3 linked regions of the Arabidopsis thaliana genome follow. The protein of the gene in region 1 binds, or shares a complex with, the protein of each later gene. Each region holds a gene or a part of one and is shown in the gene's direction. Other genes may lie near its edges. The genes, in order: EIF3A, TIF3B1 and AT4G20980.

Region 1 (7,529 bases):
CTATCTTTGTGGACTATATATTCGTTTTGTTAGCTCTTAAAATATTGTCTTGTAAGAATACCTTGTGCCGTAGACTTTCGATCAATAAAAAAACATTTACGAGAAAAAAATATGGGTGAATTGCAAAACTAACTGTTTTTGATAATTTATTTAAGAAACTAACACTATAATATACAAAATGTAGAAACTAACACTAGAGGGTAGTAAACTTACTAAATTAGTCTTTTTGATTGGAGATGGTAGTGGTGGTGATGGTTGTGGCCGGCGGTGGTGGATGGAGTTGATGGTGGTCGGAAGTGTTGGTGATCGGTGTGGTGGTTGCCGGCGGTGGTGGTGGTGGCCGGTGGTGGTGGTGGCCGGTGGTGGTGGTGGTGACCGGCGGGGTGATGGTCGGCGGTGGTGGTGGTGGTGGTGGTGGTGGTGGTGGTGACCGGCGGTGGTGGTGGTGGCCGGCGGTGGTGGTGGTGACCGGCGGGGTGATGGTCGGCGGTGGTGGTGGTGGTGGTGGTGGTGGTGGTGGTGACCGGCGGTGGTGGTGGTGGCCGGTGGTGGTGATGGCCGACAGTGGTGGTGGCGGTGGTGGTGGTGGCCGAAGTTGGTGGTGGCCGGAGTTGGTGGTGGCCGGATTTGATGGTGGCCGACAGTGACGGTGACCGGTGTTGGTGGTGACCGGAATAGATGGTGGCCGAAGTTGGCGGTGATGGCCGGCGGTGGTGGCAGGCAGTGGTGGCCGGCGGTGGTGGCAGGCAGTGATGGCCGGCGGTGGTGACCGGTGGTGGTGACCGGTGGTGGCCGGCGGTGGTGACCGGCGGTGGTGGCCGGCGGTGGTGGCCAGCGGTGGTGGTTGCTACTGAAGGTATTGAGGCAACAAGGGCAAATTGAGTAATATTACATATAATACAGAGAATATTATAATTACATAGTTAGGATGGTTAGTTAGTGAATTATAGTTTTTTTGTTAGTTATTTCTGCAAATTTCCCAAAAAAATATATCAATTTCCACTAATTTTTTTTATGTACATGTTGGATTCTAGAAAATCAATGAATTTAACAAAACAAATTCATGATCATCGCACAAATTGGCTAAAATATTGTTGATTTTGGAATTGGATGGAAGGTTAATTGTAGATTATAACGGAATTTAAATTGTTTGAATCTTGGAGTAACTCAAAAATATAGATCAAAATGATTACATATGGCTATGTTCTATTGCAAATCGTGAGCGACAGTTCCGACAAAAAAAATACGTCGATAGTAAAATAATTCAAAAATAATCTGTTATATTAATTTTCCATCACATATTTCCAATGCCTTGCTTAAATATATATTTTGAACTGTATAATGTTCTTATACTCTTGTTACTTACCTAGTATAATTAAGAAAAAAACAGTTAAAAGTAAGCTAACAATCCCTATTTGTAATAGAAAAAATCATATTCAAATTTTCAATTTTTTTATATAAATGCAATAATCATAATTAATTTTTTTTATATGAATTTATAATTGCCCAATTATAAATATTAAAGCGGGTTAACACAATTATACTTTAAAAAAAATTTAATTGAATAACATCAGATTCTATATTACACTTTAAGTCATTAAAACTCTTTTGAAATCATAAACCAATAACACCCTTTTACAGTTGAATTTTTTACCTTTCATGATTTTATGTAAATCAATTGTTTTTTTGAAATGAATTTTTGTAGTGGCATTTTATGTAATATTTAATATGTTGTTGGCTATTTACTTAAATGTATGTTTAGTTAATAATATAGAAATATCAAAGTTAATTGCTAAAAATATTATTAAACAAAATATAGAGAGTATATTGTAAATGATAATTCGAAAATGAAATCCATAAATTTTGTTGATCTCAATTGAATCACATCCCAGTATTAGACAAATTGGGTTTTATAAACACTAAGAAGATAAAACGGGGTCATTTCGAAACCGTAAGAAAATAGGATGATTTCTGCAAATATGGGTAATATATATGTAGAACGATAATATTAATACCAGAAACCCTAGAGTTGCTTCCGCTTCGCTTCTCGTCTCTCTTATCAGTCTTCTCTTTTCACGGCTACAAGGTTAGTCCTAAGTTTCGGCTCTGTTCTTGCATCAGTGATTGGATCTCTACTGCCTTTTAATCAAATCTCATTGAATTGATCTGGGTTAGGGTTTGGGTCAGGTTATCGAATCTTTCTGTGTTATTTTGATTCTATGAAATGAATTTAGGGTTTGGGCAAGTTTTTTCTGGTCTATGTAGCTTCCATCCTTTTCTGAGATATCTGATTGGGTTTTTCGGATTCTGGTGATCTCTGTAACAAAATCGCTTCTCTGTGTTTTTCAGGCTAATTGAGAGTGTCCCTTGCGTTAGAGTTTGTTACTAGCTTTTTTCGTCTGAAACATGGCGAATTTTGCCAAACCAGAGAACGCGTTGAAGCGTGCTGATGGTAAGTTACGAAATGTTTTCGTTTTAACATCCATTTGGTCAAATGGATGTGGTTAGGGTGTGTATGAATTGAGATTGTGTTAAACACTTTTTTTTTGTGTGTGTAGAATTGATCAATGTTGGACAGAAACAAGATGCTCTTCAGGCGCTTCATGATCTCATTACTTCCAAGAGATACAGAGCTTGGCAGAAACCGCTTGAGAAGATCATGTTTAAGTATCTTGATCTTTGTGTTGACTTGAAGAGGGGTCGATTCGCTAAGGATGGATTGATTCAGTATCGTATTGTTTGCCAGCAAGTGAATGTCAGTTCCTTGGAGGAAGTTATCAAGCACTTCCTACATCTTGCTACTGACAAAGCTGAGCAAGCTCGGTCTCAGGCGGATGCCCTTGAGGAGGCTCTTGATGTTGATGACCTTGAAGCTGATAGGAAGCCTGAGGATTTACAGCTAAGTATTGTCAGTGGGGAGAAGGGAAAAGATAGGTCTGACCGTGAGTTGGTCACCCCATGGTTTAAGTTTCTGTGGGAGACATACAGGACAGTCCTTGAGATATTGCGAAACAACTCAAAGTTGGAAGCACTTTATGCGGTTTGTTTTCTTCTAGGTTAAGCTTATTGGTGATACCTCTGATTTTAAGTTGATTGAGATTGAAGACTTGTACTTTATAATCTTGTAGATGACAGCACATAAAGCCTTCCAGTTCTGTAAGCAGTACAAGCGAACAACAGAGTTCCGTAGGCTTTGTGAAATTATAAGAAATCATTTGGCAAACCTGAACAAGTACAGAGACCAAAGGGACCGACCTGACTTATCAGCCCCTGAGAGCTTGCAGCTGTATCTGGACACAAGGTTTGATCAGTTGAAAGTTGCTACTGAGCTTGGACTTTGGCAGGTGCGTTTTTGTTTTCTATGTGTATTTTTCTGATGCTACCTTCTCTATTCCATATTTAGTTTGGCTGTATATAGCTTATCCTCTGTATAATTACTGGAAATAAGTTAGTATGGTTCGTGATGTATCTTTGCAGGAAGCTTTTCGCTCTGTTGAAGATATCTATGGATTAATGTGCATGGTCAAAAAAACGCCCAAGTCATCTTTATTGATGGTTTATTATTCCAAATTGACTGAGATCTTCTGGATTTCTTCTAGCCATCTTTATCATGCTTATGCATGGTTTAAGCTGTTTAGTCTGCAGAAAAATTTCAACAAGAATTTAAGCCAAAAGGATTTGCAGCTAATAGCGTCATCTGTTGTCTTGGCGGCATTGTCCATTCCACCATTTGATCGGGCTCAGAGCGCATCCCATATGGAACTTGAAAATGAGAAAGAACGCAATTTGAGGATGGCTAACCTCATTGGATTCAATCTTGAACCTAAATTTGAGGGCAAAGATATGGTAACATAGGTTCTTATGTTGCTTCATTTTTATTTTGCGCCCTTTCTTTCTGGTTTAGTATTCTAATTCCATTTCCTTCCTGTTTCAGCTTTCCCGGTCAGCTCTTCTGTCAGAGCTGGTGAGTCTCTAGCTGTTACCCTGTCTGTGGTTTAGAATATTTGTCGACTTACAAATATCTGATTTGGAGGCTGATTTTTATGCAATTAGGTTTCAAAAGGTGTTTTGAGCTGTGCATCTCAGGAGGTCAAAGATCTTTTCCATGTTTTGGAGCATGAATTTCACCCACTTGATCTTGGCTCCAAGATTCAGCCTTTGCTGGAAAAGATTTCCAAATCTGGTGGGAAACTGTCCTCAGCTCCTTCTTTACCAGAAGTGCAACTTTCCCAATATGTTCCTTCTCTGGAGAAGCTTGCTACTCTGAGGCTACTTCAACAGGTAAGCCTTGTTCTCTATGTTGTAGGTCAATACCCATTCAACCATTTTGGATTTTTCTGGTGGTTTATCCCTTTTTCTGCATACTAAATGTTCTATGTTCCGATTTTATTTTCAGGTGTCTAAGATTTATCAGACAATAAGAATTGAGAGTTTATCTCAGTTGGTACCCTTCTTTCAATTCTCAGAGGTAGAGAAGATTTCTGTTGATGCTGTGAAGAACAATTTTGTTGCCATGAAAGTTGATCACATGAAGGGTGTTGTAATTTTTGGAAATTTGGTAAGCCTCTGTTAAAGCTTCAGCTCAACACTGATTATATCATATGTAGTTGAGTAATATAATTTTTAACTTATTGACTAAATACTAATCTATTTGATCAACTGTTTGTATATTAGGGTATTGAGTCTGATGGACTGAGGGATCATCTGGCTGTTTTTGCCGAGTCTTTGAGCAAAGTAAGAGCTATGCTGTATCCTGTCCCAAGTAAAGCATCAAAACTAGCTGGCGTTATACCAAATTTAGCAGATACTGTTGAGAAAGAGCACAAAAGACTGCTTGCTCGTAAATCAATCATTGAAAAGAGGAAGGAGGATCAAGAGCGTCAGCAACTAGAAATGGTAGTTACTTTTCCATGGTTATTTGCACAGCTCTCCTTTTACGCTGTACCTGTTTATGAAAATTCCTTTATTTGATGTTTACTTTTGAAGGAACGTGAAGAGGAGCAGAAACGGCTTAAGCTTCAGAAGCTAACTGAAGAGGCAGAACAAAAGAGACTTGCAGCAGAGCTTGCAGAGAGAAGAAAACAAAGAATCCTTAGAGAGATAGAGGAGAAGGAGCTTGAAGAAGCCCAAGCTTTACTGGAAGAGACAGAGAAGCGCATGAAAAAGGGAAAGAAGAAGCCACTTTTAGACGGAGTAAGTTTACCAATATGTTAGCTATTATATAGTTCACTGATTAACTTATTACTAATGTCGGTTGGGTTAAACTAAATATAGGAGAAGGTGACAAAGCAATCTGTGAAGGAAAGGGCCTTAACTGAGCAGCTCAAGGAAAGGCAAGAAATGGAGAAGAAGCTTCAAAAGCTTGCCAAAACGATGGATTATTTGGAAAGAGCAAAGAGAGAAGAGGCTGCTCCATTGATTGAAGCTGCATATCAGCGAAGACTGGTAGAGGAAAGAGAGTTTTATGAGCGTGAACAACAGGTACTTACTGTTTCAGTAGTTTTTCTTTTCTTACAACTTGGTTCTGTGTTGGAAGTATATGAGGTCTTAAAAGCTCTTCTCCTATGCAGCGTGAAGTTGAACTCAGTAAAGAGCGTCATGAGAGTGACTTGAAGGAGAAGAACAGGTTGTCCAGAATGTTGGGTAATAAGGTCAGTCTTTGACATGTCATGTTGTTTCTCTTAATGTTCATCTTTGATCTGAATCTCTTTTCGTTATTGAATTAATTTTAAAGCTCTCTAGTTTCTTACATTTTTCCTGTAACTTTTCCTTCCAATGTACTTATAATCGAATCTTTCTGTGCCCAGGAAATATTCCAAGCACAAGTGATTAGTCGTCGACAAGCAGAGTTTGACAGAATCAGGACGGAGAGAGAGGAGCGTATCAGTAAAATAATCCGAGAGAAGAAGCAAGAAAGGGATATCAAGAGGAAGCAGATATATTATTTGAAAATTGAAGAAGAAAGGATTAGGAAGCTGCAGGAAGAAGAGGAAGCTCGCAAGCAGGAAGGTGTGGACTTGCTTCCATAAATCCACATCATTTTGACTTTGATATTGAAGTTTTTCTTAATAACCCCTTGTTTCTGTTTATTTTTTGGGTTTTCCTCTAATGTAGAAGCTGAGAGGCTCAAGAAGGTAGAAGCTGAACGCAAAGCAAACTTGGATAAAGCTTTTGAGAAGCAAAGGCAGAGAGAGATAGAGCTGGAAGAGAAAAGTAGGCGGGAACGAGAAGAGCTGTTGAGAGGAACTAATGCACCACCTGCTCGCCTTGCAGAGCCTACTGTTACTCCTGTTGGAACTACCGCACCAGCAGCAGCAGCAGCAGCAGCAGGAGCACCAGCAGCACCTTATGTTCCGAAGTGGAAGCGCCAGACTACTGAGGTCTCAGGCCCATCAGCACCAACATCATCAGAAACTGACCGACGGTCCAACCGTGGGCCGCCTCCCGGAGATGACCACTGGGGAAGCAACAGAGGAGCCGCTCAGAATACTGACCGGTGGACTAGTAATAGGGAAAGATCTGGACCTCCAGCTGAAGGAGGAGACCGTTGGGGTTCTGGTCCTAGAGGCAGTGATGATCGCCGATCCACATTTGGAAGCTCCAGGCCCAGGCCAACACAGCGTTGAGTAATAATAATTTTTTTGGTCTCAATCTCCATGGGAATGAATGAAAAAGGTTATCTCTGGATTTTCAACATCACAGCACTCTTCTTTAGCCCAAACCTGTCTCTTCTTCTTTTGAAGATTGCTCATCTTTTATAAGTTTTTATGAAAGATTTTAAAACATGTTAGACTCGTTTTTTGCTCTACACACCCAGAGAGAGTTGTTATTTCCTTCTTCGGTTGGATCTTTCTTTGTTTGTCCAATTTATTTCCAACTTTCTGCTGTAAAAACCTTTGACATTGATCAGCTTCTCTTTCAAGCAAACTTTTTGTTAATTGCTTATTATTAGTTTATGAAGAACAATAAACGAATACCAAATTTCACATTTAACAACATTTGTATCAAAAATGTAAATAGTGTATACAAACATCTTTATTCTTATCTCTGGATTAAGGAAGAAAACAAATGAAACTGTAATTAATACTTTTATACGAGATTCTTCAGTGCCTTGTTTTGAGAACAGAGCATGGGCACATTGCAAAAGCTCTCGGAAAAAGAAATTTTATAATTGGTCAACTTTACTAGGGTGTGTGTTTGATCATCAGCTAGCGTTGGTTTGGTTGAGATTAGACTTTAATTTTGTGGTACAGAAGATAGAAACAAAACAAACATGTGGCCTTTTTGGTGGAAAGGAGCATCTGGGTTCTCTGCTCGTTCCACAGCTGAAGAAGTCACTCATGGAATCGATGGTACTGGTCTCACTGCTATCGTCACAGGTCCTCTTCTTCTTCTTCTTCTTCTTCTTCTTCTTCTTCTTCGTGCAGATGTTTTCAACTTTTTTATGATCTATGTTCAGTCTATAGTTTAATTTCTTGGTTTTGATCCTGCCCTTGAACTCAAGTTGTTGTTGGTATCTGTTAATGGAC
Region 2 (6,591 bases), on another chromosome or scaffold:
TATGACCAGTGGGCCACTCAAGGGAGCTGGAAATAAGAGAAATTGAAACAACACATCACCCACCAAGAAAATGAACAATAAAGCAAACAAGGTAAATGTATGCGGGACTCTCCATAGTAGAAAGAGGCGCAGAATTGTTATCAGGCCACGTTTTCGAATGCACAGTTTAGCATCAATGAGACTTCACTATTCTTTCAAGCATGCTATGTAAAGAATTCAACTACAAAGATATAAATCCTAAAATCATGAGCACAGAGGATCTAAAAGTAAAACCCTAAAACCAAGTTACAGTATCTAATATCTATGTAACACATATGAAAGCTGTTTCAAGTCTACAACGAAAAAACCCATATACAAACAATAACATGATTTTCTGAAAAGTGGCTAATACCTCGAGGCGGTGCTCTATTATGAGGTTCCAGCGTACTCACTGAACTGCGGGGTGATTTTGTCCCAAAGGCCTGTGCATAAGTTTCATCAAACTCCTCAAACACTGACTTGCGGAAAGCAAAAACCACTGCTTTCTTCTTCATAAACTTTAAACTGTCTGGATCACACTCTTGAGGTGCTAACGCCAATTGCTTCACAAACGAAATGGTTTCAGCGGGTAAAAACTTATCCCTAGAATTCTTAATCTGATCAACAGAGTAAACGGCTTGAAGCTCGTAATCAGGCACATCAACAGCAAAGTAATCTTCCACATTACTAGGCCTAAAGTTATAAGGATTCCGACATTTACAAGTCAAACCAAGAGCTGACCTTCTACTCGCCTCATCCTTGGCTTCCTCCACAGCTCTCACAAAATGCTTCGAAACCGTCTGCTGTGATTTCTCCTCTAAATTCGGTTCGAAAGGAATAAGCTCAGCAGGATCAAACCAACCATAACTACTATCACCGAAAAACGCAACAAGAACATGATCAATCCTCCTCATACGACGAACAGAAGGAGACGCAAAAGCTTCATTGAATATATGACCAGGCCACCAAGGATGAGACTTTACCTTTCCCCAAACCAAATCTCCAACTTCAAACCCATAACTCAATGCCCTCGAAACTCCAGAACCCATTTTCTCACTTGCAACATAATCATCAAACTCAGATAAAAGAGATTTATAATCCGAAACTCCTTTTTTCTCTTCCTTCAAACCCAAATCTAATTCCTTCTCATCAGCTTCAGAACCAAGCTCACTAGATTGATCATCAGAGCCATCTTCTTCTTCTTCTTCTTCTTTAACCTCAGAACTCTCATCATCCTTATCAATTAAAACATCCTCGCTTTTAATCTCATCTTCCTCCTCACTCCCTACGACACCATCTTTCTCCGATCTCTCACTTTCGAGAACCCTAGCGTCATTTGTAACCGCCGAATCTAGCTCCATAGGTGAAGAAGCTTCAACATCATCATCAATGGCTTCGTGAACATCCCCGCTCGAATCAACTACAGTATCATCTGGAGTTACCTTAGGATCCTGAATCGAATCCGTTTGTTGAACAATCACAGCATCCTCGTTCATCACCGGGATTAATTTAGTTTTGTACATTACAAATCGATAAGAACCCTAGCAACAACAACAACGATCCTCCGATGAGAGATTATCCGAATTTGGTTCTCGAGGACACCAAATGAAAGAGACGGATTATTGTTAAAAAAAAAAAAAAGCTAATCGAGAGAAAGACAATAAATTAGATCTACTGATTACTATTGAATTGGGCTTACCCGGCCCATATAAATATTTATAAGCCCGTTTAAGGAACCGACGTCGTATGATCCAAAAAGACCTGAAAACAATCGCTCCTTCTTCCTCACCTTCAAGCGCCGTCTTCTTCTTTGTTTTTTGCTCTCGGCTGATCTCTGTATTGGGTACGTTTCTTATCTCGATTTCAGTGTTCATTTGTTTTTTTTGTCTTTTCTTATGTAGCTATGAGACAGGATCCAGAACGATGCAATAGATATAAGAGAGCCTTCAGGAAAATTTTGCCATTTTTCTCCATTTCACCTGTTGTTGGGTTCTAGATTAAATAAAACTAGAGTATAGTTAATAATTTCTATAGGCATGGTTTTAGATTTACATTATAGTGGGAGTGATGATTCAAAGTTTTAGTCTTTGAACATTTGGCCATGGTAGTTTGTTGTTTTAATACTTGTTTAGGGTTAACAAAAAACCTACTTTTAGATCTAAAGACTCAGATTTTTCACATTTATTTATCGACTTAAAGTTGGAATGTGTTAAAGACTGATAGCTCTCTCTATATGGCTTTCTTTGGCAGATTTTTGATATAAGGTTTGAAATCATGGAGGTCGTTGATATTGATGCCCGAGCTGCTAAGTTAGGGATTGATTGGTCTCAGGTTAATTTTGATTCCATCCAACTTCCTCCTGGAGAAGACTTTGGGATCGAGAGGTGAGATTTTCCTTTAGATCTCTGGTTGTTCATATACGGTCACTTCTATTTCTAATCTTCTTGTGTTTATACGATGGGATGATTTTATTCTAGGTTTTGCTATTGTATGTATGAAAATTTTGTGTATTTCGAATTGGTTTATCTCTTTCCTTGATGGTGCAAAGCTTATTATATTTATACATTTTATCTATGAACGTATGAAAAATGGAACTGATTCGTTATACACTTTTTTTTTCTGTGATGGTTGTAGTGATGATGAAGCTGTTTACCAGGATGACCAGTCTGAATTCGACACTGGATTCGGTAACATTATCGTGGTCGATCACCTCCCTGTTGTTCCCAAGGAGAAGTTTGAGAAACTTGAAGGTGTTGTCAAGAAAATTTACAACCAGTTAGGTGTGATTAAGGAAAATGGACTGTGGATGCCTGTTGATCCCGATACCAAGATGACATTGGGCTACTGTTTTATTGAGTTCAACACTCCTCAGGTTATTTATCTACTTGATTAGCTTAATCTCTGTTTTGTTGGATTCTGAAGCAATAATGTCGGCGTCATATGTTTCAATACTTTATTTCTCTTGTTAGAAAGGAGCCCAAACTAGGTTGTTCTTAATGGTTGAGTATTTCCTAAGAGTTTCTCTCAATGTCTGGGGCTCTTTGCAGGAAGCACAAAACGCTAAGGAAAAGTCTCATGGCTACAAGTTGGACAAGTCTCACATCTTTGCTGTAAACATGTTCGATGATTTTGACAGGTTGATGAATGTGAAGGAGGAGTGGGAGCCTCCTCAGGCCAGGCCCTACGTCCCTGGGGTATGTGTAGTTTTCATCATGTTACTCCCTGTACCTTGAATAATTTTCTTTGAATAACTTCCATTGTGTCTGTGTAATCACTTCTTTATTTTGGTAATTCGCTGATTTATTTTGTGTTTGCCTGCTGCGTTAGGGTTAGGATCTTTTTACGTAATTGATGTATACTAACTAATAACTATAATTTCATAACTCTTGTTTCATGTATATATTTTAATTCATTGCAGCCTTTTGTGGTGCTAATTGTCGTTACTTATATGGTGTTTGTTTTTTCAGGAAAATTTGCAAAAATGGCTTACTGATGAAAAAGCCCGAGACCAGCTAGTCATTCGTTCTGGCCCTGATACTGAAGTTTTCTGGAATGATACTAGGCAGAAGGCGCCTGAACCTGTTCATAAGCGTCCTGTAAGTTACTTCCTGTGTGTATATCCCTTTTGTTTACTTGACTGTTTAGAGCAATGTATATGTTATGTTACCTTCATTTGAATTAATATCCCTTATTTGTTTACTTGACTGTTTAGAGCACTTTTATATGTTATGTTACCTTCATTTGAATTAATGATGTTCTCTTCCTATGCAGTATTGGACAGAGAGTTATGTGCAGTGGTCTCCTTTAGGTACATACCTTGTGACACTCCACAAGCAGGGGGCAGCTGTTTGGGGTGGTGCTGATACATTCACGCGTCTCATGCGTTATCAGCATTCTATGGTTTGAATTTCCTTTCAATTGCTACATATTACTTCCGTTTTTCCTCTGTTGGCCTGAAAATTGCATCTTTTGTTGATTATGTTTTAGGTAAAACTAGTTGATTTCTCGCCAGGTGAGAAATATCTTGTAACTTACCATAGCCAAGAACCAAGCAACCCGCGAGATGCAAGTGTGAGTGCATCTTTTCTTCTGTTCTTTTCAACTTTTACTATTTGTGACGCTGAATTCTGTCAAACTTTCAGAAAGTTGAGATTAAGGTTTTTGATGTGAGAACCGGGAGGATGATGAGAGATTTCAAGGGTAGTGCTGATGAGTTTTCAATTGGAGGACCTGGTGGTGTTGCTGGTGCCTCTTGGCCTGTTTTCAGGTAATTCTTTCAACTGCATGTCAATGTCCTAAAAATAAACAGCCAATATTATCATCTTCTCCACTATTATGGACATATGTTGATATCTTGTAAACTTTTTCTACAGATGGGCTGGTGGAAAAGATGATAAATACTTTGCCAAGCTTAGCAAAAACACTATCTCTGTCTATGAGACTGAGACTTTCAGCCTAATAGACAAGAAATCCATGAAGGTAGATAATGTTGTGGATATCTGCTGGTCTCCTACTGATTCCATCCTTTCATTGTTTGTTCCTGAACAAGGTGGTGGAAACCAACCTGCGAAGGTATGTTTCTATTATTTCTGATGTACATGAAAAGCTCTGAATCCTTAATTTGCTTCTGTTTCTCTGCCTGGTGTTTTGAAATTACATGTTGATATCCCTTCTTCAGGTTGCCCTAGTCCAAATCCCGAGCAAGGTGGAGCTGAGGCAGAAGAATCTCTTCAGTGTGAGCGACTGCAAGATGTACTGGCAGAGTAGTGGAGAGTATCTTGCTGTCAAGGTTGATCGATACACAAAAACTAAGAAGAGCACATACTCTGGATTTGAACTTTTCCGTATCAAAGAAAGGGATATTCCCATCGAGGTTCTTGAGCTGGACAACAAGAACGACAAGATCATTGCTTTTGCATGGGAGCCCAAGGGTCACAGGTTTGCTGTGATTCATGGTGACCAACCAAGACCAGATGTCAGTTTCTACTCAATGAAGACCGCACAAAACACTGGAAGGGTTTCAAAGCTCGCAACTTTGAAGGCCAAACAAGCTAATGCCCTCTTCTGGTCGCCCACAGGCAAGTACATAATTCTTGCTGGGTTAAAAGGTTTCAATGGCCAGCTTGAATTTTTCAACGTGGATGAGCTCGAGACAATGGCCACAGCTGAACACTTCATGGCCACGGATATCGAATGGGACCCGACTGGAAGGTCCTACTGTCTTAACTAAACCAGTCCTTTGGTTGTTTCTATTTGTTCCAATTGCTGATGTTGTTTGCACTTTTTTATTTTCAAAGGTACGTTGCAACCGCAGTGACATCAGTCCATGAGATGGAGAATGGGTTCACCATATGGTCTTTCAACGGGATTATGCTTTACCGGATATTGAAGGATCATTTCTTCCAGGTATGTAACAAGAAAAACTCGGTCTTAAACGAGCATCGTCCATTCCGATGTCTAATAAAATATTTGTGTATGGTTGGTTACACAGTTGGCTTGGCGTCCAAGACCTCCATCATTCTTGACTGCAGAGAAGGAAGAAGAGATAGCAAAGACCCTGAAGAAGTACAGCAAGAAGTATGAGGCAGAGGATCAGGACGTGTCGTTGCTGTTGAGTGAACAAGACAGAGAGAAGAGAAAGGCATTGAAGGAAGAATGGGAGAAATGGGTAATGCAGTGGAAGTCTCTGCATGAAGAGGAGAAACTCGTGAGGCAAAACCTTCGGGATGGTGAAGTAAGTGATGTGGAAGAAGATGAATATGAAGCCAAAGAAGTTGAGTTTGAGGATCTTATCGATGTCACTGAGGAAATCGTTCAAGAGTCGTAAGATACTCGGTCTCTTTTGTTGCCATCTCTTTGGATCCCTTAGACAATTTTAAATCGTGTTCGCTATACTTGGAAGATAATTTTTGGTTCCTTCATGATTGAAAATTTCGTTGTTAGTTGATGAAGTATGGTGCTTATCACATGTAATGGTACTAAATGGTAGAAAAATTACCAATACAATATAGCTTGTAGTGTAACATAATTACACACAAATCGGTAGAGCTTATATAGAAACTGAATCTTCAAATGGCAACTCATCAATCATACTGTAGTAGAAACAACTATAGACCTTATTTTCACTAGTAACAATGCGGAGACGCTAAAAATTGTCTATACTGTATTTCTCTCTTTTTCTTTCTTTCTAAAAGTAAATACTGATATTGGTAATGACAAAAAAGAGTTACCCGAAAAAAAGTTTCATGGGCACTCATGTTTTAGGCGGAGGAGTTCCAGCGAGCCAACCCCAGACGCCACCAGAGCTTTGTCGTTTGGCGTTCATGGTGGCGGCTTGTTCAGACGCAACGGCTCTTTGACGTTGGAGGAGTTCGAGTTCCTTTTGAAGTGTTTCCATTGTCTGAAGCTTTTGTCTTAGCTCTGCAACTTCAACCTGCGGGCACTTAGACCGAGTTTTGTTAGGATTTGGTCAACATCGGAGAGGAATGTTTCACCATCGAGATTCAAATATCAACCCAGACTTACTATAAAAGTGAAACAAAATGACTTTCTTAGTAAAAGGTGTAAATACCT
Region 3 (5,163 bases), 4.3 Mb from region 1:
AGATATATATTTAAAGAACTTACTTTTTTCCACTTTGTTTTGCTTTTTTTTTTTTTAGTCTTTGGTACATATATATTACAAACCCTTTTCCAGTAAATAGTTAGCACAAACTAATTATCAGATGTCACTTAAACCAACCTCCTTCTTTATATAAGCTTGGTTAACATTGAGTTTGTTATCATGGTCTATGTGAAACAATTCAGGAATAAAAAAAGAAATGGAGCCGAGCCATTCAAACACAGGTCAATCAAGATCTGTAGATCGCAAAACGGTTGAGAAAAATAGAAGGATGCAAATGAAGTCTCTCTACTCAGAACTCATCTCTCTTCTTCCTCATCATTCTTCTACGGTTTCTTCCTCTTGGCCCTCTTATATGCTTATATAATCTAAGATTCCATGTATGGGTGATGATCTTAATATTCTAAACTCTTTTATTATTTCATGTTAGGAGCCTTTAACACTACCTGATCAGCTAGATGAAGCTGCAAACTACATCAAGAAGCTACAAGTGAACGTGGAGAAAAAGAGAGAAAGGAAAAGGAACCTCGTTGCGACTACAACTTTGGAGAAACTGAATTCCGTCGGATCTTCATCGGTTTCGTCGAGCGTCGATGTCTCCGTGCCAAGAAAGCTGCCAAAAATCGAGATTCAAGAAACTGGTTCCATTTTTCACATCTTTCTTGTGACAAGCTTGGAACACAAGTTTATGTTTTGTGAGATCATTCGTGTTCTCACCGAGGAATTAGGAGCTGAGATCACTCATGCTGGATACTCCATTGTTGATGATGCTGTCTTCCACACCCTTCACTGCAAGGTATAATTCGGAAAGTAAAACATTTTTTGCAATGGAATTTAAGAATCAAACTTTGCTACTACTACTATGTTAAAACTAGGTCTAATCCAGCTTGTATACACATTGGGAATGAGTTCAAAGTTAGGGAATGATATTTATACTTGTTGTTTTTATATTTAATAAAACTTGCACTCAAAAACGCTAAGAAGCTGCATGTTCCCATCTGATTGTTAAGTTTCTACTAGCTGATTCCTATTAATATCCATATGTTAGTAAACTAAATTTAATTTATATTTTATATAGGTGGAAGAACACGATTATGGAGCTAGGAGTCAAATTCCTGAAAGACTGGAGAAGATTGTGAACAGTGTTCACTAATATTGATTCCTTGTTCCTTTATTAAAAAAAAAAGTTCTATGTTTTTGTTCCTTTTCTTGAATTATTTTTGGTGTTAGCTAGATTCCTTTTCTTGAATTGTATCATGTGCTGTGAGAGTGATGTTTCATTTGTAAGCATAATATATACTTTTCTCTACTTAAAGCTGTGAAATATATTTTGTTTTTTGGTATCAACAAAGCTGTGAAATATATGAAACTTAGGATGATGATTTTCAAGAACGAAACCAAAAAAAAAAGTTTCTTAGAATTAATACATGAACGAGCGAAATAACTTCACCTTTTTTCAATGTGTTATACTTGCCCAAGCATTTGTAATCTAGTGATAGGAGAAACTTTGGTGATAGGTGAAACTCTCAGATCCGAGTTTGAATATCCCGTGGTATTAGTTAGAAAACATTTAAATTCGGGACAGATAGTGTTGTGGTCCTTCGGGAAAAGTTTACTTCGGAGCACTTTGGTGCGTTTCTATCGAAGCTGACCAGATCAGCAAATAGAGTTTATCAAAAAAAAATGTGTTATACTATTTCAAATTGATGAATTTGAATTCTAAATTTTTATTTTATTTTATTTTTTTCTCAAAGTCAGAAATGAAAAACATGATTTAAGACTTCAAGTGTTATATATGGGTTTTGAAGAATACTAAAGCCCATGAGCCCAAACATTAACAAAAATGTTTTTTTCTTGTACCTTCTCTCTTCAACGTAGACTAAAGAATTAGGGTTTCCGCTTTCCACACACACAGCTGCAACACTATCTTCTCAGAAATGGTAACCGAAGCTTTCGAATTCGTCGCCGTTCCTTTCAATTCCGATGGCTGGGGACCTCCAGACGCTTCCGACGTTTCCTCCTCCGCCTCTCCCACCAGCGTCGCCGCCGCTAATCTTCTCCCGAACGTTCCTTTCGCTTCCTTCTCCCGTTCCGATAAGCTCGGCCGTGTAGCTGATTGGACTCGCAATCTCTCTAATCCATCCGCTCGTCCTAACACCGGATCCAAATCAGATCCGTCTGCAGTTTTCGATTTCTCCGCTTTCGCAATCGACGAAGGCTTCGGTCTCGCTTCCTCCGGTGGTAATCCCGACGAAGACGCAGCTTTCCGTCTCGTCGACGGTAAACCTCCGCCGCGTCCTAAATTCGGACCTAAATGGCGTTTCAATCCTCACCACAATCGGAATCAGCTTCCTCAACGGCGAGATGAAGAAGTTGAAGCTAAGAAGCGTGATGCTGAGAAGGAACGAGCTCGTCGTGATCGTCTCTACAATAACAACCGTAACAACATCCATCACCAACGCCGTGAAGCTGCCGCTTTCAAATCATCCGTTGATATTCAGCCGGAGTGGAACATGCTTGAGCAGATCCCTTTCTCAACATTCTCGAAGCTCTCGTACACAGTTCAAGAACCAGAAGATCTTCTTCTCTGTGGTGGCCTTGAGTACTACAACCGCCTTTTCGATCGCATAACGCCGAAAAACGAACGCAGACTCGAGCGTTTCAAGAACAGGAACTTCTTCAAAGTCACTACTAGTGATGATCCTGTGATTAGGCGTTTAGCTAAGGAAGACAAAGCTACTGTTTTCGCTACTGATGCTATATTAGCTGCTCTTATGTGTGCTCCTAGATCTGTTTACTCTTGGGATATTGTTATTCAACGTGTTGGTAACAAACTGTTCTTTGACAAGAGAGATGGATCACAGCTTGATTTGTTGTCTGTGCATGAGACATCTCAAGAGCCATTGCCTGAGTCTAAAGATGATATCAATTCTGCTCATTCTCTAGGTGTGGAAGCTGCTTACATCAATCAGAACTTTTCGCAGCAGGTTTTGGTTAGAGATGGAAAGAAGGAAACTTTTGATGAAGCCAATCCATTTGCTAATGAAGGTGAAGAGATTGCTTCTGTTGCTTATAGGTATAGAAGGTGGAAGCTTGATGATAATATGCATCTTGTTGCGAGGTGTGAGTTACAGAGTGTTGCTGATCTCAACAACCAAAGGTCGTTTCTTACTTTGAATGCTCTTAACGAGTTTGATCCTAAGTACTCTGGTGTTGATTGGAGACAGAAGCTTGAAACTCAGAGAGGTGCGGTTTTAGCTACAGAATTGAAGAACAATGGAAATAAGTTGGCTAAATGGACTGCACAAGCTTTATTGGCTAATGCTGATATGATGAAGATTGGTTTTGTCTCTAGGGTTCATCCTCGTGATCATTTCAACCATGTTATATTATCTGTTTTGGGGTATAAGCCGAAGGATTTCGCTGGACAGATTAATCTCAACACTTCTAACATGTGGGGGATTGTGAAATCCATAGTTGATCTGTGTATGAAACTAAGCGAAGGGAAGTATGTTCTTGTGAAGGATCCATCGAAGCCTCAAGTGAGGATTTATGAGGTTCCACCTGATGCTTTCGAGAATGATTACGTTGAGGAACCGTTGCCTGAAGATGAACAGGTTCAGCCAACTGAGGAAAACACAGAGGGAGCAGAAGCAAGTGTAGCTGCAACTAAAGAAACCGAGGAGAAGAAAGCTGATGATGCTCAAGCTTGATGGTTATAAAGTCAGGTAGTTCATACAAACAACTCTCAAATTCAAAAGGCGGTTACCATAATATGCTTGTTGGATTTGATTGAACACTTGTTTAGGATCGTGAATTTATACTTAGAACCCAAGAAAATGCAGAAAGTTGGTTCTTACTTCTTAGCCATAGAATCTTGTTCTTATTCATCTGAATTTCATTCTTATAGTTTAGAAACTGGTGACTTAGATTAATTGATGATCTTTATTATAAGTATAAACGTCGTATGAAGCATCGTCATTCACAATTTGGATACTATATTCTTCAGGTCCAAAGTCTACACCTTTCGTTTCTGGGTTCTTTTGAGAGTTGAAGCTTCAATCAAACAACAACAATGGAGGTTCCTTTTTTAATTATCTTGTCCTTTTTCAAATTTTTGTGGTACTGCTGTAATTTTAAGTCAGAAATGAGATTGTAGAACACTATCTTCGTGACATCTTTTGGAAAATCATTACGGATTGTTTACAGAACAGAAATCTTTTTACTATGACTCTTATAGCCACCAAATTTTCTTGAATCATTTTGCATTAGTTTTATAAAATTTGGTATTTTATGGTTCCAACTTTTGTTTGTTTCGGTCGTTTGGCGTATTCTCTTATGAGCTTGATCCTATTGTCCTGGTCGGTTTTTATCTCTGTTAAACTGACATAGATCCTATTGTCCTGGTCGGTTTTAATCTCTGTTAAACCGACATACTTCACATATATTTATTATTATAAACCCCAAATTAGAAAACTCAACCAAAATGGTTTTTACTAAGCATTCAGTTTTTTTTTTTTTTTTTTCATGTTTCCAATAGTAACATCAGATTATTAACTAATAATCGTAGCAACGGCAAAAACCATATCAGAACAGCAGAACAAACATCCCCCAAAAGCCTCCTCTTAAATAGGTTGTCTCTAAACCCTTCAATCTCCAAAACATAATAACATACTCCATTAAGCAAAATCTAATCTCGAAAGAAGAGAAACATGGATACCAACGCAAAAACAATTTTCTTCATGGCTATGTGTTTCATCTATCTATCTTTCCCTAATATTTCACACGCTCATTCTGAAGTCGGTATGATTACTACATCTCTATTGCATTCTAGTAAAATTAATCTTTTGTATCAAAATTCAGATTTAATGATTTGTTATTAACTTTAATCTGAAAACAGACGACGAAACTCCATTTACTTACGAACAAAAAACGGAAAAGGGACCAGAGGGATGGGGCAAAATAAATCCGCACTGGAAAGTTTGTAACACCGGAAGATATCAATCCCCGATCGATCTTACTAACGAAAGAGTCAGTCTTATTCATGATCAAGCATGGACAAGACAATATAAACCAGCTCCGGCTGTAATTACAAACAGAGGCCATGACATTATGGTACGTAAAACTTTATTATAGAATTCAGTT

Evidence for each region.
Region 2: EIF3A (region 1) and TIF3B1 share a complex: the UniProt entries of both Arabidopsis thaliana proteins name them as parts of the eukaryotic translation initiation factor 3 (eIF-3) complex.
Region 3: EIF3A (region 1) and AT4G20980 share a complex: the UniProt entries of both Arabidopsis thaliana proteins name them as parts of the eukaryotic translation initiation factor 3 (eIF-3) complex.

Annotation. Positions count from the first base shown.
Region 1 is NC_003075.7:6,946,931-6,954,459, reverse strand, and holds EIF3A (eukaryotic translation initiation factor 3A), read left to right. Parts: upstream 1-1,980; 5' UTR 1,981-2,086; intron 2,087-2,349; 5' UTR 2,350-2,406; coding exon 2,407-2,452; intron 2,453-2,558; coding exon 2,559-3,040; intron 3,041-3,128; coding exon 3,129-3,344; intron 3,345-3,477; coding exon 3,478-3,846; intron 3,847-3,934; coding exon 3,935-3,964; intron 3,965-4,053; coding exon 4,054-4,281; intron 4,282-4,396; coding exon 4,397-4,558; intron 4,559-4,674; coding exon 4,675-4,896; intron 4,897-4,986; coding exon 4,987-5,193; intron 5,194-5,274; coding exon 5,275-5,481; intron 5,482-5,570; coding exon 5,571-5,651; intron 5,652-5,807; coding exon 5,808-6,009; intron 6,010-6,114; coding exon 6,115-6,626; 3' UTR 6,627-6,984; downstream 6,985-7,529. Other genes in the region: AT4G11430 (hydroxyproline-rich glycoprotein family protein), read right to left, coding at 218-847, 1,632-1,661; AT4G11410 (NAD(P)-binding Rossmann-fold superfamily protein), read left to right, coding at 7,274-7,379. UniProt on the Arabidopsis thaliana protein: RNA-binding component of the eukaryotic translation initiation factor 3 (eIF-3) complex, which is involved in protein synthesis of a specialized repertoire of mRNAs and, together with other initiation factors, stimulates binding of mRNA and methionyl-tRNAi to the 40S ribosome.
Region 2 is NC_003076.8:9,780,461-9,787,051, reverse strand, and holds TIF3B1 (translation initiation factor 3B1), read left to right. Parts: upstream 1-1,763; 5' UTR 1,764-1,861; intron 1,862-1,876; exon of another isoform or gene 1,877-2,268; 5' UTR 2,269-2,292; coding exon 2,293-2,402; intron 2,403-2,652; coding exon 2,653-2,890; intron 2,891-2,987; coding exon 2,988-3,212; intron 3,213-3,485; coding exon 3,486-3,614; intron 3,615-3,789; coding exon 3,790-3,918; intron 3,919-4,005; coding exon 4,006-4,089; intron 4,090-4,160; coding exon 4,161-4,285; intron 4,286-4,391; coding exon 4,392-4,590; intron 4,591-4,696; coding exon 4,697-5,229; intron 5,230-5,315; coding exon 5,316-5,424; intron 5,425-5,509; coding exon 5,510-5,845; 3' UTR 5,846-6,042; downstream 6,043-6,591. Other genes in the region: AT5G27650 (Tudor/PWWP/MBT superfamily protein), read right to left, coding at 1-26, 392-1,541; ACBP5 (acyl-CoA binding protein 5), read right to left, coding at 6,272-6,451. UniProt on the Arabidopsis thaliana protein: RNA-binding component of the eukaryotic translation initiation factor 3 (eIF-3) complex, which is involved in protein synthesis of a specialized repertoire of mRNAs and, together with other initiation factors, stimulates binding of mRNA and methionyl-tRNAi to the 40S ribosome.
Region 3 is NC_003075.7:11,215,042-11,220,204, forward strand, and holds AT4G20980 (Eukaryotic translation initiation factor 3 subunit 7 (eIF-3)), read left to right. Parts: upstream 1-1,839; 5' UTR 1,840-1,955; coding exon 1,956-3,731; 3' UTR 3,732-3,746; exon of another isoform or gene 3,747-4,027; 3' UTR 4,028-4,137; exon of another isoform or gene 4,138-4,339; intron 4,340-4,526; 3' UTR 4,527-4,597; downstream 4,598-5,163. Other genes in the region: AT4G20970 (basic helix-loop-helix (bHLH) DNA-binding superfamily protein), read left to right, coding at 218-349, 449-814, 1,097-1,171; ACA4 (alpha carbonic anhydrase 4), read left to right, coding at 4,731-4,821, 4,919-5,133. UniProt on the Arabidopsis thaliana protein: mRNA cap-binding component of the eukaryotic translation initiation factor 3 (eIF-3) complex, which is involved in protein synthesis of a specialized repertoire of mRNAs and, together with other initiation factors, stimulates binding of mRNA and methionyl-tRNAi to the 40S ribosome.